Lonchura striata: one gene and its partners. The protein of the gene in region 3 purifies or fractionates together with the protein of the main gene of each other region. This does not show direct contact. Links are inferred from orthologs where the notes say so. Each region holds a gene or a part of one and is shown on either strand. Other genes may lie near its edges.

Region 1 (7,758 bases), on a different chromosome or scaffold from region 3:
GGACCCGGATAGTCAGAAGTGGGAGTCTGACATCCAGATAGTTGAAGGTTCCCCCCAGATTGCTGAACTTGCAGCAGTCGTGAGAGCGTTCAAAAAATTTCAACAACCACTTAATTTGGTAACAGATTCAGCATATGTAGCTGGGATAGTAGAAAGGGCGGAACATGCCCTACTCAAAGATATCTCAAATAAGAAATTATTCCACTTGCTCTTGGATTTAATTTGGCTAATCTCCCACCGAGAGCAACTGTATCATGTAATGCACGTCAGAGCCCACACAGACCTGCCAGGGCCTGTCGCCGAGGGTAACCGGAGAGCGGACCAACTTGCCATGCCCCTTACTTTGACTGCACCGGCACTTTCCACAAACTTACCTGACACTTTTGCTCAAGCGAGGCTCAGCCACGCGTTTTTCCATCAGAACGCGCCGGCCCTCGCTCGCCAATTTAAAATATCACATGCACAGGCAAGGTCAATTGTCACCACATGCTCCAGTTGCCAGACATTTGCCCTGCCATCGATGGCAACGGGGGTCAATCCCCGAGGACTCGGGGCTCTGGAACTGTGGCAAACGGATATCACTCATTACAGCCCTTTTGGCAGGCTGAAATATATTCACGTGTCAGTAGACACCTTCTCAGGTGCTGTTTTTGCTTCTCTCCATACGGGAGAGAAGACCAAAGATTCAATCAAACATCTATATATGGCATTCGCGACTCTAGGGGTCCCAAAAGCTATTAAGACAGATAATGGGCCTGGGTTCACATCTGCCCGTTTTGAACAATTCCTACAACAATGGGGGATTGCCCATACTACCGGCATTCCTCACAATCCCACGGGCCAAGCTATTATCGAGAGGACTCACAAAAATATAAAACAGTTGCTAGAACAGCAACAAGACTCAGCACTCGCAATGACCCCAATAGAGAGGGTCTGTAAAGCACTTTATGTTTTAAACTTCCTAAATTGCTCAGAAAAAGAACCAAATCCACCAGTCCTCCGACATTTCTATAATAACACAAGAGCCCAGCTGAAAGAACGCCCACCGGTACTCGTGAGAGATCCGGAGTCCAAGCAGGTGAGCGGCCCATACCCGCTCATCACTTGGGGGCGAGGGTATGCTTGTATTTCCACAGGACAGGGCCCGAAATGGATTCCAGCGAGATGTGTAAAACCATTCCTAGAAAGCTCCAACGATCTGGACCCCACACCAATGCACACTTCAACAGCACCCACTCCGGTGCCGCCAGACACCGCGGCCGCTTGGAAGAGGAGGAAACGAAAGACGACAAAACAGTACCCTAACATCGTTTGCAGAACACTCATCACCCGGCTTTATGCACCACCTTCAGCTGACGACCTCCCTAACACCCCGTCTCCCTCTATCCCTTTTCCTCTTCCCTCTTACCTCACCCGTCGCTCCTACCCCACTTAAATATCTAATTTTTTACTTAAAAATGAAAAGGGGGAGTTAGGGGAGTTGGGGAAGAATACCATATTTTTCCTGAATATTTTCTCTTTGCACTTTAGTTCACTAGAGATGGCTGCCTAAAAGACATCCACCAACGACCTACGAGAGTGGACGCCCCGACGTATCCGGCTGGCCGCAAGCCTCACGCTCCTTACCATCATGTGGCTGCAGGCGGCGGACGGCTGGATTGTGCCACAGCCGAAGGAGAACGTCTGGGTAACGCTGGCAAAGTCCCTCCAGCAAGAGAACTTTTGCTTGGCCATGGGCAATGTGGACAACCCGTTGTCCACATGCCTGGTGGGGGTCCCTCTGGTAGCCGATGATTGGCCGGTTTCCAACTCTGACCTGCTCCGAACCACGGGCAGGAGACCTAACCCGGTCGACACTTGGGACGCGTGGACGAAAATACTACCAAATTCGAAAGAGGAGCCCCAAGAATTGGATCTGTTAGGGTCCTCTCCTGCCACCTATTGTGTAAAGTTTTATTTTAAGAGGCCAAGTCAGAATTGGCATGGAATTGACTTGGCCAAAAACACATATAGAAAAGACGTTACACCATTGAACAAAAAATATAATTCGGCTACTTGGTGTAACTACACAAGTCCAATTATTTCTGTCTCCTCCAGTCGTCCCAAGTCGTTACCCCGGGGGATGTTTCTTGTCTGTGGGGACAGAGTATGGTCAGGCATCCCATCTCGGCTCCAGGGAGGACCATGTAGCCTTGGCAAGCTTACTACCCTCACTCCAAACAAAACCCAAATTATGGATTGGAAGAAAGAGAGACAATTGGCCAGACAAAAAAGATCCTATGACCAATTCGACCAAAATTGCGATGACAAAATTTATAATTGGGGAAAAACAAAGAGGGTTGCCGCTTCCATCTTTCTCCCATGGTATGCGGTCGCTAAAGCCCTCGGTGAGCTTTCTCACCTGGAGTGCTGGATAGCAAAGCATGCCAACGCATCGTCCGCCGCCCTCTCCGACCTCTTGGCGGACGAACAGACCACCAGGCAGGCCACCCTCCAAAATCGGGCGGCGATAGACTTTTTGCTGTTAGCCCATGGCCACAGCTGCGAGGACTTTGAAGGACTGTGCTGCTTCAACCTAACATCGAGAAGCAAATCCATCCAAGCCAGCATCCAGCGTATCCAGACACAAGTCCAACATCTACAAACTGAAACCTCGGCTGTGGACCCTGCCACCAAGTTGCTTTCTCAATGGGGCGTCCCGGGATGGGCAGCCTCTATCCTCCGAGGACTTTTATGGATTTTAGTTATTGTCCTTATCATTTTAGTTGCCCTAGCAATTTTTAAGAGGATGTTAATTAAGACCTTAGGGAATGTTTATTTAATTAATAAAGAAGGGGGAGATGTGGTAGGGGACTTGGGGAAAGCCCCCCCGAATATGCCTTGGGAGGAGGCTGTTGTGTAGATCCCCGCCTCCGAGCTGCCCATCAAACCTACCACTCCCCTCTTGTTATGTAACCTTCAGTTATGCCCACCTTTATGTCAATCACTTTTGTACTTACCCTTTATTCTGGAATGTTCTTAAGTTCTTTGTCTACAATTGGTTCTTCCCCTGTTACCACCCCCTTCCCTTATTCCCATTTGTTGCATCCCCATTATCTCATCCCAACTCCTCCTCCTAGCCCTATTCCTATTGGATCCTTTGTACCATGTCCCTCCTACTTGCTCCCTAACATAATCTCTACCCCGCCCCCTGTTCGAGGCTCTCGGAGCCAGCTCCCTTTCTGTGAGGCTGTCTACCTGTACCCCTTCGCTCAGTCCCTGACACTTAGCCCTCAGAGATTAAAGCTGCTTCGAAGCCAACCCGCCTTCGGCTGGAGATTTCTTTATTCCATCGTCCCTGCTCCCCGGGATCTCCACCACTGGAGAGCCGCCCGACAGGGGACCCCAGGGACAGGCTACCATCAATCTGGAGGTGCTGGGTCTGTCTGCAGTCTGTCCAAATGCTCCCAGAGGGAGTCGTGCTGCAATAATTTTGACAGGTTGGGGACAATTTGTTGGGCTGGCAGAGCCCCTTTGTATTCTGCATTGAAGCTGGTATGTAGCTCCAGCTACCACATAGAAGTGTGGCATGAAGGGTACGTTGGCAAAGTGCTGGATTTGTTTTTCCCAGGCAGGGCTTGCTTTCATGGCAGACTCACCAATGGGGACTCAAAGCTTCCAAAACACCTGGATTTCTTAGATGCTTGCTGTGCAGCATTTCCCAGGCTGCATGCAGCAATGTTACTGCAGTCATGAGGAGCAGAGGGAGGTGCAGAGCAGACCCACAACACAGCCTTGGCTGGCAGAGCTGCCTGAGGCCACTTTGTGCATGAGCCTTGCCAGTGGGGTCACTCCAGGGTGCATTGTGGGGAAAATCCCACAGCTAACAAGACCAGTGGGATCCTGCAATGCATTAGGAAGAGCATTGCCAGCAGGACAAAGGAGGTGATCCTGCCCTTCTACTCAGCCCTGCTGAGGCACCTGCTGGGGTGCTGTGTCCAGTTCTGGGCTCCTCAGCACAAGAGACACACGGAGCTCCTGGAGCAGGTCCAGTGAAGAGCTACAGAGATTAATAAGGGATTGGAGCATCTCTTTTGTGTTGAAAGGCTGAGGGAGCTGGCCCTGTTCAGCCTTGAGAAGAGATGACTGAGACATCTCATCAGTGTCTATGAGTGAGTGAAGAGAGGGTGCCAAGAGCATGGATCTGCTTGGTGGTGCTGAGCAATAGGACAAGAGGCAATGGGCAGAAACTGATGCACAGGAAGCTCCACCTGAACATGACAAAAAACTTCTTTACTGTGTGAGTGACCATACATTGGAACATTTACCTGGAGAGAAGACTGTGGAGTCTCCTTTACTGGAGATATCAAGAACCATTTGGACACGATCCTGCGCCATGCGCTGTCAGCTCGCCCTGCTTGAGCAGGGAGATCGGACCAGATATCCCACTGTAGTGCCTTCCAACCTGACCTGTTCTGCGATTCTGTGTGCACAGTATCGTTAGGCCCTCGGCTCTCCCGCCGGCGTCGAGCTGGAGCCCCGCGGCCGGTCCGCCGCTCCACGTGCGGAGCCGCAGCCTGCTGGCACTACCCGCCCCAGAATGCCGCGCGGGGCGGGGGCGGGACCAGAGCCGCGCCGCCGCGCCGCGATTGGACAGCGTCCGCCCGCCCTTCGCGTCACGTGCGCTCGCACCGCCCGTTCCCCGCCCCCCCGCCCCTCTCCCAGTCACTCAGCAACGGCGCGCGCGCGCCAGCGGCCCCCCCCCTCCCCGCCCGTTTCCCCCTTGGCGCTCGTCACGGAGCGCGTCCCGCTTCCCTCCGCCCCTCGCGCGAGCCGCCGCCGGGAGCCGCCGGAGCCGCCTCGCAGGAGCCGCCATGGCCGAGAACGCCGCCGCCACCGGCCTGGAGAGCCACCGCATCAAGAGCTTCAAGAACAAGGGCCGCGACGCGGAGGTGCGTGTGGGGCCGGCGGGGCCCCGGCCGGGCCCGGCCTCCGCCAGCGGCCGGCGGAGGAGGGGCCGGGCCGGGCTGGGCCGCGCTCGCGGCGGGAGGAGGCGGCGGGGGGAACGCCTGGGGGGGTTTTTCTTCGCCGTCATGCGGGCGGGCGCGGCCGGCGGGGGGCGGAGGCGGCGGCGGGGGAAGGGTTGGCGCGGCCGGGCCGCCCGCGGGCCCCGGGCAGGGCCGGCGGGATGCGGCGCCGTCTCTTCCCGCCGCGCTCCCCGCTCCACGCCGCTGGCCTCCGCGTCTCGCCGCCTTCCCCCGCCCGGCGCTCGGATGGGGCCCCGGACAATGGTGCCGGCCGCCTTTTGTGCCGCCCCCCCGGGGCGGTGGCGGCCCTTCCGCCGGAGCTCGGGGCTGCCCTGCCCTCGGCCCGCGGTGCCGCTGCCGCGCACGGAGGCCCCTGCCGTGCCGGGGACCGCTCCCACGCTCTGGTGAGCCTGATTGCGGTGTGCTGCGCTGGCCCGTTTTGTTTCTTGTATCAACCCCTTTCTTCTTTTCAGTTTTTATACTTTATTTTCAAATGCTGGTAGGCACGTCAGTAATGGTTTCCTGGGCATCTGCGTCTAAATGGGGAAGGAGTGCGGTACTCGGTAAGACTAATGGGGTAGTAGCTTACTCCCCCGAATTTGAGAGTTTCAGGGTTATTGGGAGCTTAGTCCCCAGAGATGTTCCAGAGGTCTTCGAATCTGCGTGTCATTATCGGACACATCTTCATTTCTACTCGCAACTGAAAGAGGAAATCCCAAATCTCGTATTTAAGTTTCTGTAATAGGAAAGGAAGGGGGAGGGAGCTCTGAAATCAGGCTAGAATTGAAATCGGCTTAGGATTCGCTGGAGTGAAAACCTAAATATGTGTCGGATTACTTTGACTTCACCTGAGAGTGTTTTCCATGGTTCTGTTGATTTTATCACTTTACTCCGTAATCAGTAGACTGGAATTTTAGTGCTCTGAAAGCACATTCTGTATTTTGGCAGAATTCACAGTTCTGCTGCTATTGTTTGGGTGGAGACAATTTTATGCAGGTCAGGCTTAGCAGCAGCAATGTCTTTAAGATGACATTCGCAGTGTAAAGCAATCTTTAATTTTTATTTAAGACTGCATCAGCGAGTCTTTCTTACAGAAAACCTTGCATGTAAGGAGTATGATAACTTCCAACACTTCTGGCTAACATTAGTAAACGTTAGAAAGTAACTAAAAATGGCCCATCCTTCTGTTTAGCAGTAGCTTCTCAGGGTAAGGAGGGGGCGTGGTGCATTTCTTTTTCCTCTTCTCATCCAGTGAGGCCCTTCCTGCTGCTCCTCATTCATTTTGTCCTTGTCTCATCCCTCCGTATTGGTTACTGGCTTTGTTGCTGCTTTCTCAGTAACTGGCCTGAATCCATCAGAGCTCTAAACAGGGAAAGGTTAGGTATGTTCATGCCTAGTGTGAGCTGATCTGTCATCCACGCTTGCTTATATTATAGCACGCTCAAGATGAGGGGAATTAAATATCTGCCTCCATGGGGAGGAAGGAGAGAATGGACTGCCTAAGCTTTGCTGAGATTACTTCTGCCAGACCAGCTAAGGTAGCTTAGCTCTCATTTCCCCCTGAAGAGGAGTTATTATTTTGGAGTAGTGTATTTGCTGTTATGGAGAAGTATATCCCAGCCTTCCAGTGTACTGACTGATTTCCTTTCTGTGGCTGAGCCTAAGACTGGTGCAGAGCTCCAATAATGGTAATGTAGTTAAAGCTGTCATATCTGCTTTTGAAAAGGGTTAAAACCTAGGTAACATACTTCGTTTGCACTAACAAGTAGATAAAATGCAGAGGTGTTTTAAAGTTGTATACCCATGGAGATATGCTAAAATGAAATTTAGTTTCATGTAAAGGACTGTTAAAGATTGGAAATGTTTCAGTGTCTTTCAAAACAGTTTAATTTGTGTTAAATGTCTGATATTTTCTACTAAACATCCTTTTTGACTCTTTTCTGATTTGGGTATTTAAAAGTTCATGTTAGAAGTACCCTTCTGGAGTAAACTTTATCTAACTTAAGCCTCTAAAAGTAAAACAATGTAAGTTAAGATTAGAGTGGAGAACGAATGAGCACAGCAGAGCTATATAATTGCCATTAGGTACTGTGCCTCTCTTGAGGAACTGGTACACAGACTGGCCTGCTGATTGCGCAGATTGTCTCTATGTAGTCAAAGTTACTGGCTCTTCACAAAGTATTTGTTTTCTAAATCGAATATACCTGATTCTCAACTGTCAGCAATTAAATACACTTGGTTTGCTCCCTGTACTGCGATAAAGAGTTTGACATAGAGATCCTGCCTCCACTTTTCTCTACTCATCTTTGGACATCAGGAGGCAACAGTGCTTTCATTGGCATTGATCTACATCTTCTTATTTTGTCAAGTTCCACCAGAGAGAAATGAAGTATTTAGAATGATGACATGATAAATCATGATCTGATATCTAGATTATATCCTTTGGAAAATTTAAAATACTCAAAGCTGTACTGTCTCAGCTTCAGTTTGAAAACAGTTGCACTTGAGTCACCTTCTGCCTGGAGACAGTCATTGCCTTTGAACACATCAAGCTTGAACACATTCTTTAGTAATCTTCCTTTGACTGCTATTAAATACTTAAGAGTTGCTATTGATCCCCTCCGGGAACAGACTCTTCTGGCAGACCAAAATACTTACTCCTTTAATTTGTACTTAACCTGTATTTTATTACTGGGTTTGCTGGGACATATAATTGTCTTTGCTTTTTCTTAATGCAACTTTAAGGGAAACA
Region 2 (7,206 bases), on a different chromosome or scaffold from region 3:
AAGGCTGGAATTGCCCCTCCATCCACCACTGCCCTGGTTTGCTCTGACGTGCCAGAGGCGATGTTGGTGAGGGCCCAGGCAGATTCAAACTGGATGGGACTGCAGTCTGCTCTGCCCAGGAACGAGACAAACTTTGGAATCAAACCAGCCCGAATTATGTTGTCTATTGGGGGTTGCTTCTCTCTTGAGAGGAGTTTCCTATGGAGGAAGGCAAACAGGAAGCATTAATTTTGCCTGCAGACATCTGAACAACAAATTAAAGTTTTAAAAGCACCATATGAAAAGAGTTTAGCATTGTCTTAACATTCATAGAAGGCAACACAACAGCATGAAAGAGAAATGCATACAAGATGAACACTAGCTCCCTAGCCAGGCCTCTGTTAATGCTAATTTGGCATGTCTTCACTATATGAGAGGTTCTGTTCAGACTCTGAAGCAAAGCAGACCTGCAGGAGTCATTACACATCTGAGCTGCTAGAGGCTTCTCAGCAGAGAGAGGTTAGTGACTGCCAGAAGAAGCACTTGAGCAATATGCAAGCTTATTAAAGGATATTTTAGATTTGAAAAGAGAAACAAACTTGGAAAACTTCAAAACCCACTCATCCTACTGTTCACATTATTCTAAAGTGAATTGCCACACTCATACATACCAAAGTGTTAACACAGTTTAAAAGGTACCTTACTTTGCTATAATAAAGTGTTAACTATAATTACTTCTTCAAATCAAAGGTGACTACTGTTAAATTTGCCACCACTAAAGCAAATTACTTCTTCCTACTAAAATATTCAGGCACTTTAAATATTCAAAAGCCACATGATTTCAATAAAACCATGCCTAAGTTATGGGTATCTCAACATGGTATATAAGATGGTGTTTGTTGAAATACTGCCTGATAAGAAAGCCATAAGCAGCCATTTAGGCTCATAAGTCAATCCTCTCACCTTGCCTAGTTATTGGCTTGCACAGCTGAGTTGGTTTCCTCTGAACTGCTTACCTGGCAGCTTGAGTAGCCTGTAGCTGAAGCTCCATATTATTACTATTAACTCCTTTGACTATTTCTTCAACTGACCAATGTGCCAAAACCTGTACAAGAAAATGTTACATGAGTGCTTCACTGGGACAGTCATGTGTATTCCTGACCAGAGAGCTCTTACACAGTACCATGAACAGGCCCCAATTTACAGCCACTTCCACAATGAGGTATTTCAAAACCTCATCAGCTACAGCTTCACCTACAGTTATCTGAACTGCTGAAAGCTTTTTTTAACCAAGTGATTCATACCAGTTATGCTAGGTTTAAAATGTAGCTGCAGCCAGTGATGCCTTGAGAAGTCTGACTTAGAACAGAGGCTAAACAGAGTTAAAGAATAAAGCAGGTATTGATTGAAGGCCTTAATGGATACAACTTGGGCAGTACAAGAGCCTGGCCAGGGCTACACGAAAGATGAACCAAAATGGTCACAAAACGGACTATGGTCATGAGGTTTGACACTTTTATATGTTTTAGTCCATTTGCATATTGGAATTAATTGTCCAGTTATAACTTTAGGTTACAAAGCTCCATCCTGTTTATTTTTCTTTCTTCAATTCACTGTTGTTTATACTTTTTGGGCCTGGAGGTTGTAACACTTGTCCTTGGACAAGCTGGAAAGGGATTGTTTTGTCTACCTACTCTGTGAAGAGAACTTGCTAACACTTAATATGAAGCTCAGTTACACACTAAAGCAGCATAGAATCTGAAAAATATGAAAGCTAAAACTTAAGGCATCCCCAGTTGTGTGTAAGAGTGCTGTCCATTAGAGGTGATAACACAGGCCTGAGTTACTAATGCAGATGCAGTAGTGCTGTCCTGCACTCGAGAATAGATCCATGTTGGCCTGGCTGCAGCATCTCAGACAGTAAGACCCTCCAAGTGTGTCTATTCCAAGTATCCACTTACCTGGTTGCCTCTGTTTTCCTGAAGGGGAGAAGTAGCATCATCTGGTAAAGTGCTCACATTTCTTCTTTTAAGCATCTGGTCATCTTTTTTAGCTTTCCTCAGCTCCACATTGACTTCAATGCGCCGCCTTCTCATCTCCTGGAGGATACACACTCAGAATAAGTTCTGGGCTTTCAAAACTTAGATTTAAAGAGAAAATGGCTGGCTAAAGTACTAATTGCACCAGAGTACTCACTGTGCTGTCCTTTCCTTTGTTCTTGAATCTGTTTAATCGAGCTGAGGGTGTATTGGCATTCTCATTAGTAGACATCTTGCTTGTTAGATTTTTTGAGCAGGACAGATAAAAACAAGCCTGAAAACAGAGCAAAGGAAAATTTACTCCACAAAAGTTAAATTTTAAAAAATTGGACCCATACTCAAGAATGATAGGCACTTGTTAGCATTAATACTATAAAAACATCTGACTTGTTCAACAGCTGTCTCATTAAACAGCCATATGTTATAACGAACTCTAGCATCAACACAAAAGCAGAAGACACAGTCACACGATTTTGAGACACTTTAAACCAAATACTGCTAGTTATTATTTTCAGAAGCAGCATAGATTTTCATTTCTACAGACAACATACACACGCTGTTAAATACTATTTTCACTATCACGCACCTGTGCTGCACAGGAACCCACCTAGCCCCACCCCGACCTTTTTGGGAATGGGAAGAAGGCCGGGGGGCGTTTGCCGTGCGGGCGCAGCCGGCCGCACATAACAACGGCTACACGAGTAACGAAGAAAACCCTTACGGCTCAGCCACTGCCAGCATAAGAACCGTCTTGGCTTCCCTTCGGCCATAGCCCCACCGGAGAGACAACCCGCGCTGGGATACACCAGCCCTATCAGCCCCAGTGCAGACAGCGAGACGCGGGAGGCTCCGGAGAGAGGCCCCGGCAGAATTGTAGGCATAGCACGGCTCTTTCCAAAAGGGCAGCGCAGGGCCCGCATCCCCGCCGCCCCAGACCCGGTCCCCACACCTCGGCCGGAGACGCCGCCAGTCGCTCCGCTGCTGCCGCACGCTGCCACTGCCCACGGCCGCCCCACGCGGCATTTAAATTTCCCGCGGCCGCGCCCTGCCATTGGCCAGTTCGAGCCAAAGCAGCCTTCTGATTGGCCGGTTTGAAAGCAGCCCGGCTCGCCATGACGGGGAATGCCCTCCCGGAAGAGCCGGTCGGACGTGACGTCTTCACAAAGCCCGGTACTACAGCCCCCGGCGTGCCCCGCGCAGGCAGTGCCAGCAAGCCCCTGTGGGGCGGCGCGGGGCACGCCGGGAGCTGTAGTGCACGGGGCCGGGCTCGGTGATAGCCCGGGACGGGAGCGGGGATCGGAGCGAGGGGTTAATTGTGTCGTGCAGGGGCCGCGCTCTGAGCGGGTGGGGCAGAAATTCCCTCACGCAGAGCCTGAGTCTGCCTCAGAAACCAGCGCGGCAACGCGGGCTTCCCCGGGACAAGGGCGGGTAGTGACAGGACGAGGAGGTGGATGGTTTCAAACGCAACGAGAGTGGGTTTAGATGGGATATTGGGAAAAAATCCTTCCCTGTAAGGGTGGTGAAGCCCTTCTCAGGTTCCCAGAGAAGCTATGGCTGCCCCATCCCTGGAAGTGTCCAAGGCCAGGTTGAATGGGGCTCCAAGCAACTTGGGGTAATGGAGGGTGTCCCTTCCAACCCAAACCATTCAGTGATTCCATGGCTCCATGTGTCACTTATTGTCTCCAAGAAATGTGGTGCACAGAAATGCAAAGAAAAGGGGATATGAGATTGCAGCTGAAAGCAGTTCTACAGCCATCAGGGCAGATGGAAACCTAATCACACAGAATAACAAAAGCAAAGGATTCCTGCCCCTGTGGTATGGCCTGAAAAGGGATGAGATTGATTCCAATGGGTTTGGCCTGCTCATGAGGGATGGAACACAAAAGAACACTGATTTTCACAGGAGATCTTCAAACCAAAGAACTGTAGGGAAAACACAACTCTGACACTTTGAGACACCTGTAAGGTACAACACAGAGAAGTTTCAGGCATGTACATCGATATGCCTGTGTGCTAAGCCATCACATTAAACCACTTATACCAATCTCTAGGCACACATTAGGTATGGAGGATGTTTGCTGAGGAGGAATTACCAGTGACATCTCATATAGCTGGTTTTAGGCCTTACGGTGCTGAGCTTTGTAAAAAACACCTACAAAAACAAGAGCAGGTAAGCCAAGAGAAGGCACGTTGCTAACAAATGGAGATATTAAACAAAGAAAAAAGGCAGTTCAAAAGCAGAAATAGAGGTAAAACACCTGCTTTCCTGAAGGATTGGAAGGTTGGCGTGAAGAAATTCCATCGCTGGCAGTGTATGATCTGGAGCAGTTAAATCTGGGCACAGCGATCGGTGTTGAGGGCACGGAGAGGGCTGGCAGTGCCCGAGATGCCCGAGGGGGTGTGGGCTGCGAGGGGGCGACAGAGACGTCGGGGGAGACTGGGCAACTGGGGCACAACAGCGGCCAAGCTGCGGGTGAGGTTGTGGGGCTGCAGAAGGTGTGTGCAAGGCGGGCAAAAGGGCCGTGAGGGGTCACAGAGCCCTGAGGGGGAGGTGTTCCCTGAGAAGGCCGAGTGTGGAGCCGCTGGGACTGGGTAGAGTTACCGGCAGCAGCACAGGAGCCAGGACCGGGCCCGCGAGGGGAAGCTGAAAGACACGGGCCCGCGGGCAGCGGTGGGCGGGGGTCCCGGGCCAGCGGGGCGGCCCCGGGCGGGTCCCCTCAGGCGGGGACGCGCTCGCGCCGAGGGCGGGAACCCGTTCTGAGGCGCGGGCGGGGCCGCGGGCACGCGCCGCGGGGCGGGGCCTGAGGGCGCCGCGACCAATGGCGTGCGGGGGGTGGGGCCGGCCCGCCGCGAGCGGGGAACACGTGACACCCGCAGGGGGCGGGGCCGGGGCCGGCCGGGCGGGGCTCTTACCGGGCGGCGCGCGCGGTGTGTGCTGGGTGACCCAGTGGCCTAATGGATAAGGCATCAGCCTCCGGAGCTGGGGATTGTGGGTTCGAGTCCCATCTGGGTCGTGCCGCGCTCGTTTTGTGCCGCTGCCGCGGGTCGCTCCGTGCGCCCACCCCCGCCCGGGACCCCCGACTCTTTTACCGCGGCTGCCCCGGGCCCGCTCTGCCGCGCTCCGCGACCCGCGGGGGCAGCTGCGCTTCCTGCGGGCATCCCTGGGTCCCGCTCCCTCCAGAGAGCAGCAGCCGCGGGGCACCGGGCAGGGATGTGGCTTTGGTCCCGGTTTTGCCCAGCGCTGCTGGGAAAGCTTTTCCATCTCCGCTGCTCGAGCACCCCGGGGCTGCTGGAATGCCGGGAGTGCTCCAAACACCACTGCTGTGCTCTTAATGGAGATCCTGTCCAAGTAAAGTCTGGGGAAAGAGTGCAGACACAGCCGTAATGAATGAGGGTTGAATTGCACCACCAGCTAATTCAACAGAAAAATCCTTGGAATACAGGTCTGTGGCATGCTCACGTGTGTGTATATCCATCCATCCATCCATCCATCCATCCATCCATCCATCCATCCATCCATCCATCCTCCTCCCTCCCCAGTGCCAGCACTCACACTCCAGCTTCTGCTTGCTGCAGGTACCTGCTGCTCACCAAAGCAATGGAGGAGCCCTCCTCTCCTTCATCCTCAATTTACATTCCTATTCCCGTAATAGCTATCTTGGGATAGTTCTGGAATTAAAATGTTTCAAATAACAGAGGGAAACAGGGAGTAAGTGAGTGTTGCAGTAGAAACGTAACTCGTTGAGTAATAGATGTGGTGAAATGTCTTTTATTTTCCACACTATTCTGGTGAATTTTCTGTATCTTTGCCCATGGCTGCTGGAGACAAAGCCCTGAGCTTCTGGAAATCCTATTGAAATATTTAATTAAGGCAGGACAAAACAAACTGCTTGAACTAAGCAACACTGAATCCCATGCCACAGGCATGGCTGAGGGTTAGATTTTCTGTCAAGGGTGGGTTTCAGGAGCCTTTCAGTGCCTTTATGTAGTTTTAAATTGTTGGTTGTCCCTTAAAATCATGAACAGCTTCCACAGCACCCAGCAGCAGCCGGTGAGTTAAACTGTCACAATAGGAATCTTGTGTTGCAATAAGGTCACTTAGAAATAAGCCTTCTTAATTCAGTAATCCAAATCAGGGTTGGCTTGGTGTGTGAAAATTTGCAGAGTTCTTCACGATGGCAAAGAGAGATTTAAAAATAAAGCTGTGTGGGATCAGCAGAGCTTTCCCTTGGACTAGACAGTCACAACTGCATTTTTCAGCCTGAAAAGAATCACTGAAACTGGTTCCTGAAACTAAAAGAGGAGATTAGCAGTTGTATCACTGGAGGTGACCAGAAATCCCCAGATATGTTCCATTGTCATGCATATCCTTTACAGCCCCCGTGTCCCCGGGTCTGGTGTATTCCAGCAGCTCCCGGTTCCCCCCCAGAACACAGCTCTCCACAGGCAGCAAAACCAGCCTTGTTCCCGATGATTTTTCCCTACAGAATGCCACAGGAGGGCAAGACTCCCCAAAATAAAAATCTGCTGCCAGAACCACGTGTGGGTGTGTATTCCCAGGACTCAGGTGGTGCAGCCAGGGGCTTGTTCCCGATGGGAAGGAGCACATTCCTCCCAGGCAGGGCTGGTGGAGGCAGCAGCTTGGTCTTGCTCCAGTGGGTTGTCCAGCGAGTGATTCCCGTTTCCCCTCAGGCTGCCTCTCATTAGCATGGATCGGGGGAAGGGCATAAAAGACTCCAGCTCATTTTGAGTCTGGAAAAACTTTTCTTCAAAATGACAACCCAAGTGTTCTGGCTCCTCTGCTTTGTCATTAGATCATCTTCTGGTAAGTCTGTTACCTTCGGAGCGGGGCTGGGGCAGCTCTGCCTCGGGAAGCAGGGGAGGCTAAGGACTTTCCTACAAACCCTTGCTTGGGCAGCCCCCCAGCCTGCAGCCTTTTCAGCAGGTAAGGGCTCAAGAAAGAAACATTTCAACATGTTTGTGCAATGGGAATGTAGATTGCAATATTTAATTTGCCAGCATTGGGAAGAATTAAGAGCGCCTGGCAGAAGCAGGCAGGGAGCTGGTGCTCTGTCCTGCCAGCCACCAGTGGCAGGTGAAGTTGGATTTGCTTCTGCATCTGGGATTTTTATAATTTGTATGTGACCTTTCTCTTTTAGTCCCCACCACCTGTAACTCCAGATGTGTG
Region 3 (7,366 bases):
CTGCCAGAAGCAGACAGCTTTTGGAAAATTAAATTAACACAAAAATTAAAGTAATTAATGTCGAAATCACCATATGAAAGACTTCTCAGCTCTCTGCCAAGGCAGCAGAGAGTGAAACGAGAGCACAGCCATCAGAGAGGAAGCCCACCTCGACAACAGGATGGCGAAATGGAAATCGTCCCCAAATTCTTGTGCAAATCAGGCTTCCTCAGCCGGAGATCAGCCTCTCCCCCGCTGTGAGCTGACGACTCGAGATAGTGAAAGGTCAGCAGTCACCTTGAAGAGATAAGCCAGGTAAAACTGCTCAGCAAGTTCAAGCTATGCTCAAGCTCTTCAGCAAGCTTTTTATATTAATAACCAGCAGGCAACGCGCTGCTCAGCTGAGGGCCGCACTGAGGAGCTTCATGAAGGTAAAATGTCATTATGGGCTATCTGTCGCGGCTGAGCAGCATGGAGGGACCACACCGACACATTAGTGTGGCCCAGGGGCAGCACAGCTTTGTTTAGAGAAGCATTTGGAGTCACTCAGCTCCGGGACTTCCTTCCCAGAAGAGAGGTTTTCATTCCAGCTAGAAAAAAAGCAGCTGCAAGCTGCACTCCAGCCTTTCCCCTCACTTTGTCCTTTAGAAATGAAGCTTTGAGGAAACTACTTCGTACTCCAAGCTCCTCCCGAGTCAGAGCAAATATCAACTATTAATATATCCATAAAAACCCAAGTAATGAATTCAGCAATCGCCAAGTGCCCGGATGTAAGGCAGACTGTATTCCTCACAGGCCAACTCTCACACTACCAGCACTACTCTGATAAACAAATTAAAATCAGAGCAAAGCAAAGGCAGAGTCAAAACTTACACTGATAAAGCAAAGGTCTCCTCAAAAAAAAAAAAAAAAATCACAGTGCCTCTGTGTGCCAGAATGAAACCAGAAAAGGAGGGACAATTAAACAGGGGGAAAGAACTTTAGGAAAGCAAAGATAATATATAATAAATAAATAAAAATAACACAGCTCCACACTCATCTATAGAAACTTCTCTAGGCTCGATAAAAATTAAAGATTTCAGTGCTAAGCTATATACAACCCCAGTTTCTATTATTATCAACATCTGGAAAACATAATAAAATTAAACTGTAATACAAGGCCTAGAGGAAACAGGGTGCAGATATAAAATATACTTTATTCTTTTAAACACGGATGCAAATGTTTATTTGCTTGGGGTATTCTAAAAATTAAAATGGGGCAATAAGGGATGAGGGAGAAAAAAGAAGAATTTAAAATACATTATGTACAGTGAAAATGTTTTTGTAGAGTTAGGGGCAGCCCTAGGTATGTACTGCAGAATAAATGTAAGTATTCAGCAAACCTGAAACTATTTAAAAAGACATATCCTGGAACAGTTTTACACCAATACAGACACAGGCAGAGCTGCAGGCTGAAGTTCCTGCCCTGCCCTGAAACATCTCTCCATGTAAAATGAGGTAACAAAGGACAGGAGATAATACACGGGGGCCAGCACAAATTTCTTAACCTAAAACCAGAAGAACTTCTGCTTTTCCTCTCCCATTTTATGCAATTAAACCAATGCATTATCTTAAACTGCAGTTTTAAGGCATTTGGTGGACTTCATGAAACCGGTGTGCCCAAAAACATAGAAGGCTTCGCTTCCACTGGACTGCGACGAGTGTTAAAGCTGTTCCCACACCTGTGTGTAAGTTGTGCCCTTCCCTCTGTCACCTCAGGAGGCGCAAATTGGATTTATTTGTGTTCAAGACCGGACGTGGGACTTAGTGCCATGGTCTGGGTGACAAGGTGGTGATCGGTCAGAAGGTTGGACTCCACCTGAGGTCGTTTCCAGCACAAGCAATTCTGTGGTTATAATTAAAATATATGCCAGCACCGGACTCCAATTAGATGGGTTCACCTGTATGACACCAAAAGGGCAGCACAACTCCTTCACCTCACAGTATCTCACCCTCAAGAAACACAACTGAATTTTAAGACCTGAGAACTTATTTCTGGCTCTTCCCTGTGGGGACAACTAAGTGATTAAGGAACTGAACAAACAGCAGAGCTGCTGGAGGGAAACAAGATGTACTTGGAAGGAGAATGGATGGTTACAAAAACCAAGCATTCTCTGGCCTTAGTAGCTGCTGCACTAGACCAAAACCACTGAAAATCTATGGGAAAAACCTCACCTTCTTTACTCTTCAAATAAGGGGCAGACCACAATGTGAAACAGATTTTTCTAGCCCTGACTTACCCTGAGAAGCCTGAGCGCCACACACTTACCACTGCACAGATAATGACCACTGCAGGTGCTACTGCTGAAGCGATTCACAGATTTTACCGACAGAACACTTAAAAAAACAAGCCACACTAAGCCTGAGGGGTCCAAAGACCCCTCAGCACGAGTCCCTTGGGCCCAACAGCAGCCGCCAAGACGCACAAGAGTCACCTGCGCATCACTTGTGGGCAAAGCCACCACAGCGCCCCGGGGCAGCGACGAGCCCTCAGGAAAGCGCCACAGGCGTGGGGAGGAGCGGGCAGCGGGCGAGGAGGATGCCCAGGGGGCGGGCAAAGGACGGGCAAGGGTTACACAGCGATGCCCTGAGGGAACCGATGCCCTGAGGGGACCGATGCCCTGAGGGGACCGACGGGACCCCCCCGCCCCGGCCGTGAGGGGAGCGAGCGGGGGCGGTGGGGGGGGAACTCCGCGCGCGGGCGGCGGGAAAGCCGCTGAGGGGGCGACAGCGCCCCCTGTCTGCGCCGCCGCCACCGCTGCACCGGCAAACCCACACCCCCTCCCCGGCCGCTGACCTGCTGCGGCCGCCGCCGCCGCGCCGACACCGCTTCGGCTCCGCCTCCGCCTCCGTCCCCGCCGGTCCCGGCGCGACGCGGTGCCCACTCCCCGCCTTTCCAAGAAGAAGGAGAGAGAAGAGGGGGGGGAAAAAAAAATAAAATAAATAAAAAAAAAAAAAGCCCCGCGGCGGCGCCCGCGCGTGCGCGGCGGCGTCGGGGGCGCGCCGGGCTCTGGGCGCACGTGACTTCCTCCTGGCGGGGCGTCGCGGGCGTCGTGACGTCAGGCGGGCGCTGCGGCGGGAAGTTCGGACGGGCGGCGGCGCCCCCGCCTCCAGCCCGGCGCCGGTGCCCGAGCCCTCGGTAGGAGCGGGGCGGCCGCCCGGCCCTCGGGAGTGCGGCGGGATCCGCTCGGGGCGGCCCCCTGGGAGGCGGCGCTGGCAAAGGGCTGTGTGGAGGCGGCGGGTCCCATTGCCCGCGGCGTTGGCTCGCTCGGGAGCTCCCTAAGGGCTCGCACGGAGCCAGCTGCTCTAATAACCTGAGGAATATCGCTGTCCTCAAAAGCGTGTGCTAGGATCTTCACCTTATGAAGCACCCAAGCAGATGGCAGCTATAAGAAACAGCGCGAATCTTTCCCCTTTCCGTCATATAAGCTGTTTCTCACCAATCTAAAGCGTGATATATATATATAAATATTAAACATAATACATTTACGTGAAATATATTAAATTAAAATTATTCATACACGTGCAGTATATTTAATTATTAATTTTAAATGTTTATAGATTAAAAATAAATATAAAAATTTATTTTGAAGTATTTTGCAGTCTCACTTCAAATATGCAAAGGGGTTTGGCTTCACGGGGAGTCAGTTATTTTTTGCATGAGCTAAACATGCATGACCAACTCCACACCTGGGACAAAATCATTCTGGTAACAGCTTTTTTTTCCCTGCAAGTAAACTTTTGGCTTTTTAATTCAAGTAATTCTGAATAAGAGTATTCAGGGTTGCTAGCCATTCATTTAAATGAATTAATCCATCTAAAAGCTGGAAAATAGCTTGACATCTATTAAAAAGACAGATTTTTTTTATTTTTTTTTTTTTGCCAGCAGTGTGTTAGATTGTTTCTGAGGTTTCTTTCTAAAATGCCCACAGCAGCAGCTCTACCACACTGATTTGATACCACTTTGCATCTAATTTTTTTTTTTTTTTTTTTTTTTTTTTTTTTTTGAGGGGGAAAAAAATAAGTAATCTTTTGTCCACACTTTTCCTTCACAGCTCTTGTGCATCCTGACCCTTTCCCTGTCTCTCAGGCTGTGGGAAGATGTGGATATTTGTGAAATAAGCTTTTGGATGACTGTGTTGCCAAAGCAATGGCCTCACAAGAATTTACGGTGAGTGATTTTTACCAATCACTTTTAAGTAGGTGTAAGTTTAGAGACTGTAGCTACTGAACTATTTGAACATTTTCTTACTTGTTGTTTTTTCAATATTTTACATATTTAAAACAGGTGTTATACACTCACCAAAAGATGAAAAAATCAAAAACATGGCAAGATGGAATTCTGAGGGTTAGAACTGGCAGAAATCAGGTGAACATTCAGATTTAAGACTTTACATCGACTGCTGCCAGTGGCAGTCTAGCTGATTGGTGAAATAAATGGTTATTTAAATTTTTTTTTTTTTTTTTTTGCAGGCTACCTTGTTTGATGATAAAGGACAATGTCTAGAGAGTATCTTTATAAGATCTCAGGTATCTTTTGTTCAGAGTTGTTATTTTTATATCTGATTGTACTTTGTCTTTCAGGCAGCATTTCAAACACGTTTGGTAGCTAAAGAGTCATTTTTCTTCTTGTTGATATGAAACTCTGCTACAATGCAAATAATGGAAGGGGAACTATTTATTAATAGATCTTACTGTTTGTCCAGAAGGCTTCATGGAATTTTTCTTCTTCTGTGGTAAAACAGTGTATTACAGTGATATATGAGATAATCATTGAATCTAAGTGCTAATGCTTTTTACAATATATGTATAAATAAAAATATTATATGGCATCTGTGGTATAATAGGTGTAAGTACCTGAATTATTTACATATAAGTACTTAAAATACTGTATTTTTTTTTTAATAAAGCTATACGATATTGTTTCTTATACAGTACTGTTATGTACACACTGCTTCTCTCTCTTTTCCAGGTGTCTCCTGGAGATGATTTCGAAAGTGATCGATATTTAATCACAGTTGAAGCAGTCAAAGGGAGTGAAAAGCCTTCTGAAGGGCAGCCAAAGCAAGCAGAAATTCCAGCAGTGGATAGAAATGGTGTAAAACCTGGTCTTCGACCGCCAAGACATCTCCCTGTTGGCTTGAAAAGGAAGTTTACGGTGTGTTTTTGTTCTAAATTTTTATGTCTCATGTTTACATGCAGTGTAAAACACAAGGAAAACATATTTTCATGAATGGTAAATATATAAATATATGCATCATTTCTTCCTGCCTTCTTTTTTTTTTTTTTTTCCTGTAATCCAGACTGTGTTTTTTCCACATTTAGGAAATTTGGTTTAGCAGGATTGGTGTTGCCTAGAGTAAAAATCACAAGGGCTCAAGGTTGTTTCTATGCACCTGTGAATTTGTTCAGAATATATTTTCAGGCCATTTGATCAGAATGTAGTCCATGAAGTGTGCCCCGTTTTCATCATGTGATTACAAAATGTGGATTAATTGAAAATTTCTCTCCCAGGGGTTCCAAGGACCACGCCAAGTTGAGAAGAAAATACCAGCTGTGGAAGATGAAGGAAAACCAACAGTGTTGCCTTCAGCTAAGGAGTGCCAAGGGAATTTTCCATCCAAGTTTTATATCAGCTCTCCGTTGTTTTCTACGATTCGCAAGAAGGATGCAGAAACAAATCTCTCTGCAGGCAGTCAGGAAGAGGGATGTAGGGACAGTGGCAGAGAGCAAATGTCTGTGTCCTCACTGCTTTCAGCTCCCTTTAGTGACAGCTGTGAGGGGACAGAGAAGCAAAACTCCCATCAGTTGGTTGTGCAGCCGGAATCGCCTCTCCTCACTGGGCACACAGGTCCCGGGGCAGTGTCCCACCACATCAGGAGCACAGCACAGATAATTGCTCTTCTGAAGTCTAAACCAGCACAAGGACACAGAGAGCAAACATCTGGAGTCACAGGCTGCCTTTCCAGGTTTCAGGCAGCAGAAAATGCAGGTTTATGTGACAAAAAATGCCCTGTCCTACCTGGTTTTTCAGGCGAACCTGCCAAAGGACTCGTTCCAGATACTCAGCACCTGCCTTTTGTGCAGGGAACTGTAAATTATACAAAGGACTGGAATGCTCAAACACTTCCAAATTCAGCTGAACAATCTCGTGGTGAAGAAGTCACAGGACAGAGACAAGACAAAAAGGTAAATAATTTAAGTCAAGATTTACAAGATCACTGCAACACAAATACTTACTTTCTACCTGAGTCCACTGTAAGTAGAATGAGTGACAGTCAGTGTGGCCCATCCTCAGGTGACATTTCACCTTCAGCAAGTCCAACTACCTTTGAAAACAATCCTTTTGCATACAGAGAGCATTCAGGGACTGACAGTCTTAGGGAGGATTTCTCTGTGAAGATGCAGAGTGAGCTTCATCCAAGACAAAATTCAGAGGGAGTGTCTAGTGACCCAGAGCTCTCTTGGGATGTGACATTGACTGAAGCTGGAATTGTGAAGGAGGAGTTCAGTTTGCAGGGCACAGGATGTAGTCCTGATGGGGAACTGATGGAGGTTAACTTTAACCTAATGGAGACTTTTGATTTTAATGACATAGACAATGAAGAGGTGTGTGAGAGAGAAGGGAAAGAATTCTCTGAGGGAGACATGCCTTCATGGAGCCCAGGTAGCTTTCAGGGAGAAGATGTAGCACAAGGTGCTGCCTTGAGCCCTCATTTGAAGCCTCATTCTTGCTGTGAAGCAGAGACACACAGCAAAAATGAAGTGAAATGTTCAAAATCTGATGGAGAGGGGAGTACACCACCCCAGCTTTGTGACAGTGATGCCAGGAGAACTGCAGAAGATGCTGCAAACCAGACCAGAACCAAAGTGGAACTTGTAGGTGATGGACATAACATAAAAGAGATCAGTGAGAGTCAATCAAGTTTTGAAGGCACAAACAAAGAGGAGGATCAGGATGGCTGTGCAGCACTCACCATTAATGGCACATGCTGGGTAAAAAACCATCACTCTGATCTCTTGCCTGGTCACACCAGTGCTCATGAATGTCACCCTGAAACCAGGCTGTTTGAGGCCACTGGAAGTCTTTCAGCTGTTTCTCCCAGCAGAATAATTTCTGCCTTGGACAAAAAGACCAAGGAAGGAGTTACAAAGCTTGGATGCATGGAATCCCCAGATATTGGCCCAGAGCACTTCTGGGCTTCTAAGAGTGATGACATGAAGCCAGACAGCCCTCTGCTGGCTTTGTCACAGAAATCAGATCCTTTAGGAACAGGTTTTTCATCTCCAGAGGAAACAGCAGTAGGAGGAACTGTGTTGGAAAATGCAGAGAGCATAACTGCTTCTC
Region 4 (7,909 bases), on a different chromosome or scaffold from region 3:
TAAACCTTGCCCTTCTGTGCACACAGATGCTCCTTTCACTGAAGATAAAAAAAAAAAAAAATTGGTACATTACTAGAGTGAGACTGATGCTCTGACCCAGGGCTGAGCTCAGCCCTTGTCTCTGTTAGGGTCCAACACCAGCAGCCCCAAGCCAGCCCAATCCCCATGTAGTAACCCCATGTAATTCCCATGAAGTAACCACCCATGCCCTACCTCCACTGTTCTCTACACAAAAACCATCAGCTCAACAGAAAACCACTACAGGTTTCTGATTCTCTCACCAACAATCTCTGACCTGCACAGAAGCCAGTAAGAACAGATCATTTCTGTTGCTTGGATTATTTTCCATTCCTACACCCAGGGGTTTTTCCTCACGTCCCCAAATAGCCACAGTCAGTGAGCAACTTAAATTACACCTAAAACTCACAGAAACCTCAGCCAAGGGACTAATATGAAGCAGAATTTCTGCCTGTATGGCTGTCTGAAAATAATCCTTCACCACACTGATGCTCAGGATCATGATGGTGACAAGCTCTGAGGAACAGTTAGGAGTTTTGAACAGTTTTTGGCTTGAATGGCCCTTGATCTAAATTCTACACACTCTATCTATGCCTCATGGCCACTGAGGGATGAAATCACCCTTGTTAGCATGCACAGGGTTCAGCTTTAAGTTTAAAACAAGCTCAGGTCACAAAGTTAAAACAACTCCAACATGAAAAATCCCCTGCTGAAAGTTTTCATAGCCTTGGATAAAATATCTTAATTCAGGATCCAACTTAATGAATTTTGACAAACTGCTGACACTTGAATGAAAATTTAGGCTGCAAGTGTTACGTACCAGGGTTTGAACCCTTTATAGGCCATCTCCTCCTTGCCTAGATAAATTTAAAACCACAGTATAAACCCTCCTCCCAACTACTACTTATTCAGCTATTAGTTATTATTCTACAGCCAAAACTATACATGACAAAAGCCATTATTCCATTGCAGTCTGTAAGAAATCTACCCACACTTCCCATTATAGTTCATCAATGTAACACTTTTATTCCCTCTCACAGAAGTTTAAATCCTCAGAGGACCCCAGGTCACTTGTAACAAAACGCTGCCAAAAGATTTACATGTCACTTTCTGCTGAAAGGGAAAAAAAAAAAAACCCACAGGAAAAGATATTCTGAAGACAAAAAAGCAATTCAAGGACCTTCTGCCTGACCAACATGCATGATGAATTGAGAAGAACATTAATTATAAAGCTCACACAGGTAAACAAGAGAATTCTTTAAAAAGTCACCTTTTTGCAAGGTATTTATACCAGGTTCTTCCCCCCAACAGGAATTATGTGTTTTTTTTCCCCTCTACTCATTCCTGATTTCCAAAGATCTCCCACTCTATCCAACAATTTTTTGAAGTCTCACCTGAGGAAGGTCTGTGCTCTCCTGCCCAGTCCATCAAACACCTCCCCTCCTGAACTGAACTCACCTCCCTCTCCCCTCACTGCTCTCATGGAGAAGGGACGCTGTTTACAAACACAAGCACTTCCGAACCTCTCCCGCCTCAATGGGAGCTGCTTGCCAAAGACTGCTGGCCAACTCTTTCTTGAAGATGCTAAAAATACTATTTATGGTCAAAGCAAACAAAAGTCACGTGCTGGGAAATCAGAGTGCAACACTTAACAGTTAGTTAAGCACGGGGAAGTGACACGGTCGCTAACCCAGAAATAATTCAGTAGGGCTCTTAAGAAGTGAGAAATACCCGAGTATCCGAGAAATACCACATCTGTAAACAAACTATCCAAGCGATCGTTCCCTGCTACACTGTATGAAGGAGAGAACACACCCACAACCTCACATAATCCAACTTTTCTTCTGTAGCACAAGCTGCGCAGTTCCCCAGTGTTTTGCAGACATTGGTTAGTGGGAAAAGAGTAAAAATACAGAAGGATTTGTTCTGAAGTGTTCCCAGTCTGGAGCTGTCCTCAGGTGGAGCAGGTAAGGTGATGGGGCCCCCTTGACCTGGCAAAAGCCACCCCAGAAACTGCTCCTTCACTCCTTAAATCTATGCGATGTTTTACCCAAAAACACGCCACAGCCTTGAGAGGCAAGAAGGATAGCGATACAGGAACGGAAGCCTGCCTGGAGCAGCCCCGCTGCAGAGTGGAATTTAACAGCTTTCTCCGTAGAGAACCTGAGCACTATGGGGAGGAGGGCGATTAACATTCCTTAAGCAGGCTGCGAGCACCGGGGCGCAGGGAGGCACTCGCAAGTGCCGGGAGCCTCACGCGTAGGTCTGTAGCCATCGCTATCGGCGCCGAGGGCGATTAGCGACCTCTTTTAGGAAGCGGAGACACACCGAGCCAGGCTGAGGCTCCCCTCGAGCGGCGGCACTTGCCGGGCGCTGAGGAAGCGAGTTAGTGCAGGCAAAACCCCGAACAACCGCACAGCCGAGCGGCCAAAGGCGGGAGGGCCGCGGCGGGAGCCAAGGCGCTCCCTAAGTTTATAAATAGCCATTATTTATTGTGTCGTGGCCCTGCCAGCCCCTTCCGCCGCTGACCTTCCCCGGGGCTCGCCCTGTGCCGGCGGGACGGGAGAGGCGTGCTTGAGGCGTGTTTGAGCCCCGCAGCTCCTTTGTGAGGCCCGCGGGCCCGCAGCCCGCCAGGCCCCGCCGGGCCCGGCGCCACCCGAGGCCGCCTCCTCGGGCCCGTGCCAGACCGAGCCCACCGCGACATCGAGCCGCGCCTACGCAGCGTGTCGCGACTCCCCGTCACGACAGCCCCGCTCCCCCAGGCCTGTCAGGGCAGGGAGGGCGGGGGGGGGACGCGCTGAGGGCAGTTCCGGCGCCCCTTCGGCGACGCCGTCAGGCCGCCCCCGCGCCTCGCGCGCAGCACCCGCGGCCTCCCGGGCGCGGCCCCGTGTCCCGCCCGGCGCGGCGCCGGGGGCGGGCGGGGCCGGGACTCACCGGGCCCGGCGGACACAAAGCGGCGGCGCCTCCAATGGCGGCGGCGGCGGCGGGACCGGGGGGGGGCGGCCGAGGGGAGGGGCGGAGCCGCGGCGCGAGGCGGGGGGGCGTGGCCGGGTGGCGCCGCCGGCCAATGGGAGGCCGCGGGCATTTTTCGAATGCCTCCCCCGCCCTCCGGCCCCACCGCCTCCACGTCGCGCGAGACTGCGCGTGCGCAACGGGGGGCGGGGAGCGGGGCTGCGCGCGCTTCCCGCCACCACGGCGCTGAGGCGATTCCCGCCCGGCGGGTCCGTGAGGGGCCGGAGGCGCCCCCGGCACCGCCTCAGCCCCGCCGGGCCCTCAGCTCAGCCCCGCCGGGCTGCGACTGCGCCGCCTACTCCTCAGCCCTGTCAGAACCGAGTGTACGTGTTCCTGTATCACCTGCTCCAGGTGACCCGGGCTTGAACTGGATCTTCTCCAGAGGTCCCTTCCAACCCCAGCTATCCTGTGATTCTGTGTGTACCCATGAATTCCCGGTCCGGAGCACTCCCGCCTGTATGTCACCTCCAGCTCTTCTCACCCTCTGCGGTATCCCCAGTACCGCCCTCCCTTTGCCTCAGCCTCTTCACCCCCATCCCTCATTAGCTGTGTAATTATTGCCTCCTGCAATTACACCAGTCCCAGTGCTAAGGTCTGGCTGCAAGCTGGGAATTTTCTGTCACAACACGCTCACAAGTTCTCACATGTGGGAAGGATCCCTTTCCTGATGATACTTTGCTCTTCTTTCAAGCAGTTTTTACCTGTGCCTCCACTGCTCAGGGTGAGGATTATCATAGCAAAGCAGAGCTGAGGTGTGACCCACACTTGTATCTTCACTGTCACAGTAATCTCAGCTGTGGAGGTACACTGAGAGGTAAAACCCGAGCTTTTCTTGTGTACCTCTTGCTACACTTTTGCTCCAAGTTTATTTAGCTAGACTCCTCGATGTTTTTTTCTTTCCCCCCCTTCCTTCAAACGGACTACTTAATAAGTTTAAGGTAGAATTCCTCAATTCCCTACCTTTTCATATTTTCTGCCATAAGCATGCTTAGAATCACAGAATCATTAAAATTGGACAAAACATTAAGATCATTGAGTCCAGCCTTTCCCATGGCACTGCAAAAGTCACTGCTAAACCACGTTCTCAAGTGCCACAGCCACACTTTTTGGACAGCTCCAGGGATGGTGACTCCTAGTACACCACAGCAATTTCATCTGCTCTCATCTGAGCAGTTTTCTCATTTTTGTTTTCTGAAATAATCATTACCTGTCTCCTGCCAACCTCTCTTCCCATCTGTGTTTTTACAATTTGAAGACCATATGGGCACTTACCCATTTATTTGAGCATTTTTATCCCTGCTGTGATGGGAAACCCCTCTGTGAGCACATTTAGAAGCATTTACACCATTCAAAGCACTACAGAAATGTCTTATTTCTGCAGTAATGCCTGTTTCTTGTCCAAGCTTTTTCCAACTCTTTCCCCTGTAGGTCACTACTCTAAGTTTACTACACCTGAGAATGCCACCTTCTAAAGGCTTGTGAGGAAAGCCTGGCCCTGTTCAGTCTCCTCCACTCCAGATGATCACTGACGTGGAGCTGAGCAGCCCTGGGAGCGGTGCAGACAGATGGCTCCACTTTGCTGAACATTCCTGTCTTGCCTGTGAGTGTGAAACGAGCCCTGTGCAACTGCAGAAAAATGTGTTCTTTGGCTTTTTTCCCCCCTGTGGTGCCTCTCTGGCAGGAGAAGGTGGAGCAGAGGGGGAGAAGAGGGAATGTGCTCCTTCACTACTGAGTTTTAAGACACCAAGAAGGAAAATATGAAATTAGACCAGCAACTCTCCCTTTGCCCACTGCAAGGATGTGCCCCAGCACCTGTGTTGGCTGAGCCACAGAGCTACAAGTGGAGGAGAAAAGCTGTTGATATCTCCTTCTCTGGTTTTTACCTCAAAATCCATCCCAGAGGGGAAGAGCAGACCCTTCACATTCCTTACAGCCACACTGTGGGATCACAACCCACTGCTCTGTCTTCTCTGCTCCACTTTTTGGGCAGGTTTGTGTCATTTGTGTCCCTCTTCCTATTCCCACAGGAATGAAGCAGTGGGAAGCTCAGAGCCAGCACAGGAGGAACAGGGAAATCCATGGCCAGGGAATCAGACTGCAGCTTGGAGCTGCTGCCAGAGTTATTTGTGATGGTGTCAAGCCCTATCAACATCAGGAATATTTCTAATAAGGACTCATTTTTAGTAAGTACTAAGCACTGTTAATAAGTCCTAAGCCCTCTCAATACCTTTCCTGCCTGCAGGTGCCATGGACTAGTAAGATTCCAGCTGTTTTTTCCTTGAAAAGAATTTAATTTGATTCTACCTTGCTGTCCCTTAGAGCTCTCCTGAGTCTCCCCACAGCTTTGGGCTTGGGCTGTGCTGCTTGCAGATCATCCAGATACATTGCTTTTGTTCCCAAGGAGTCATTGTACAATTTGGAGTCAAGGGTTTTACTGTTTCCACCCAGCATCCAGAGCAATACCACTTGTTGTTCTTGTCCTAGAAACATGGAACCTCTTGTGTTTCTGATTTAGATAGTTTTATGTTTTAAATCTGTCCATGGAAATTCCATTCCAAGGGTTATTTTGTTGACTTTTTTTAACCTAGACCAACTCACATTTTCCCCACTTTGCCACGTTTATTATTTAAAGTGAACACTTGAATTTAATAAGCACACTTCTGTGAGGCTTAACATCTATCTGCCACATGATTATTACCTTTATTACCTCCGTCAAACTGTGCAACTGCTGAAATAATCTTCTGCTGATACATTCTCAATGTTTCAACGTTGACCTGCAGCTCCAAACTTCAGCTCTGAATACATTCAGGCCTTGCGTCTGGTGTTGTCACCCCAAGTTTTTGTCGATTTTCTCCCTTTCCACTTTTACCTCAGCTTTTACATTTATATTAGGAAGCCTTTTATGCCCTTCTGACCTGCAGTCCACCTGGCTCAGGGAGAATTTGAGCCTTTTTTCCAGCCCCGCCCATGTCTAGTTACCACCAGACTGGGAAGCTCTTCTCTGTCACTATACTCAATCATCCCTAAAACTCCATGTTCTGCTGCTGCATCTTCAGCTTCTTGTGCTTTGAAAAACAAATCTAATATTATATATACACACAATCTGGTATTCCCTGAGAAGGTCTTTACCATCAGATCTCACTATGCCTGAATATATATCCAAGGGGGTTGTTTTGGTTCTGTGTCCAGCCATGAGGGGATGATGGTCGCTGCTCTCTTCAGCTTGACCCTTTGTATCTGCACAGGGAGTGATGCAAAGCACAACAATCCCATAACCACCACTGAAGCAAACATTTAATTCACGTGGGTCTCTCACTTGTTGAGCCACACACAAACTTCCAGAGGCTTTTTGCCCATGGCAAAATAAGCATTACACAAGGACCTGTTACGTGGTGATGTTGCCCTTCCTGCAGACACACACATAATTCCTGTCTTTATACCTGAGCTGCTTTTTGAGTTCTTACTTCTACTTTACTTATTAAGATTTTTTTTTTTCCTTTTACATGTCCTGTAGAAATAGGGACTTTTAGTCCTTTAAACTGGAATTTTCCACTTTGTTGCTGATTCACTTCACCAAAGACCTCTAATGATCACCAGAACAACTTACAATTCTCTTCCAATTCATCTTTACTTTTTTTCAGCTGCAGTCTTACTGTCATCCCTGCAGCTTCTTTAATTCTATGCAAAAATAACTAATTTTCTGCTTTCAACCCCAAAATGCATATTCTCTGTCTCTTCGTGGCTTTCAAGATATCACTTGATTTTTTTATTTCTTATCAGCTTCCTAGTAATTAGTTCTCCATACTTTTCCCAGTGTCACCCTACACCATCTCACAGCTGGTCTCCCTTGCTGTCTCTCTCACACTTACCCTTAAGGTTCTACTTCCTTATCTTTTCAAACATTTTCCCCTTTCCAAGGGGTATCCCATTCCTCTATGCATTTTCAAACCAAACAACCCATTTTTTACATCAGATCTAGCAAGTGAATAAAAATACACTTAAATACACCAAAGTTGGTTTCATTCTGGAGCAAGTGTAGCATAGAAATACCACTGGAGCCGACAGGAATTTGGAGCAGGAATTTGGAGCAGGAAAATGTTATGGCCTGAGCAGTCTCCACAGGCTGCTGCTTTTCTAGAAACACCCTGATTTGAAATAGATCCTGAGTGCTGTCATTACTAGAGGACCAGGGGCTGGAAGCTGTGATTCTTTTTCTACACCACTTTTGGCATTACAGTAATGACTGATTTTGCCCAAGTCAGGTACATGAAGTGACACCTTCACTAAGCAAGGAGCAGCTGAAGACCACCAACTCAACACTGCACACAGGGACAGCTTTCCCAAAGCTACATCTCCCCACAGTTAAGAGACCTGGCAGTGAGAATTTCCTTAACTCTGAACCAAACAGTGTTTTGGATGGTAACATCTGCCATTAATTCTTGCAGGGGGCTGCAACAGGACAGCCAAGAGCTTCACTGCTCTCTCCCCTCACTCAGTAACACTGACATTTCCCAACCAACAGCATCTATTGCCTTCCTCACGCCCACTCTCCTTTCCCATTTGCAACCACAGCATATCCATTCCTGCAGCTGGGCCAGCAACTTGGACACAAATTCCCCCATGGAAAGGACTGAATGGAGTGGAGCTGGTTTTATTCCTGTTGCTGTTTCAGCACAATTTAGCAGCTGGAAACGAGAAAGAGAAGCTGGTGCCACATGACAAAGCTTTCCACAGTCAGCATCCCTACAGCAGCATTTAAAGAAGCAGGAGTTATTTCAGCAAACAACAGCTCCACAAAACCTCACCAAAGGTGGCAAATGGAGCCCCTTGAAAATCAGAAGGGTAGACAATCTGAGGTTTCCTCAGATACTGTGATTTA

What was found.
Region 1: the proteins of LARP7 (region 3) and KPNA3 purify together in Homo sapiens (affinity purification with mass spectrometry; 3 studies listed by BioGRID and IntAct, with this or other methods). This does not show direct contact. The link is inferred for Lonchura striata from reciprocal best matches to the Homo sapiens genes LARP7 and KPNA3.
Region 2: the proteins of LARP7 (region 3) and KPNA2 purify together in Homo sapiens (affinity purification with mass spectrometry; 3 studies listed by BioGRID and IntAct, with this or other methods). This does not show direct contact. The link is inferred for Lonchura striata from reciprocal best matches to the Homo sapiens genes LARP7 and KPNA2.
Region 4: the proteins of LARP7 (region 3) and HP1BP3 purify together in Homo sapiens (affinity purification with mass spectrometry; 3 studies listed by BioGRID and IntAct, with this or other methods). This does not show direct contact. The link is inferred for Lonchura striata from reciprocal best matches to the Homo sapiens genes LARP7 and HP1BP3.

The regions. Positions count from the first base shown.
Region 1 is NC_134604.1:62,575,622-62,583,379, reverse strand, and holds the start of KPNA3 (importin subunit alpha-4), read left to right. Parts: upstream 1-4,746; 5' UTR 4,747-4,853; coding exon 4,854-4,931; intron 4,932-7,758. UniProt on the Homo sapiens protein: Functions in nuclear protein import as an adapter protein for nuclear receptor KPNB1. Binds specifically and directly to substrates containing either a simple or bipartite NLS motif.
Region 2 is NC_134621.1:8,515,723-8,522,928, forward strand, and holds the start of KPNA2 (importin subunit alpha-1), read right to left. Parts: upstream 3,016-7,206; 5' UTR 2,968-3,015; intron 2,293-2,967; 5' UTR 2,251-2,292; coding exon 2,176-2,250; intron 2,079-2,175; coding exon 1,941-2,078; intron 1,085-1,940; coding exon 996-1,084; intron 199-995; coding exon 1-198. Other genes in the region: C19H17orf58 (UPF0450 protein C17orf58 homolog), read left to right, coding at 3,141-3,465, 4,291-4,514, 6,726-6,843.
Region 3 is NC_134606.1:71,927,887-71,935,252, forward strand, and holds the start of LARP7 (la-related protein 7), read right to left. Parts: upstream 3,018-7,366; 5' UTR 2,816-3,017; intron 277-2,815; exon of another isoform or gene 149-276; intron 1-148. Other genes in the region: 5'-3' DNA helicase ZGRF1, read left to right, coding at 4,169-4,189, 4,307-4,387, 4,492-4,548, 4,991-5,176, 5,533-7,366. UniProt on the Homo sapiens protein: RNA-binding protein that specifically binds distinct small nuclear RNA (snRNAs) and regulates their processing and function.
Region 4 is NC_134626.1:6,311,962-6,319,870, reverse strand, and holds the start of HP1BP3 (heterochromatin protein 1-binding protein 3), read right to left. Parts: upstream 3,016-7,909; 5' UTR 2,953-3,015; intron 1-2,952. UniProt on the Homo sapiens protein: Component of heterochromatin that maintains heterochromatin integrity during G1/S progression and regulates the duration of G1 phase to critically influence cell proliferative capacity.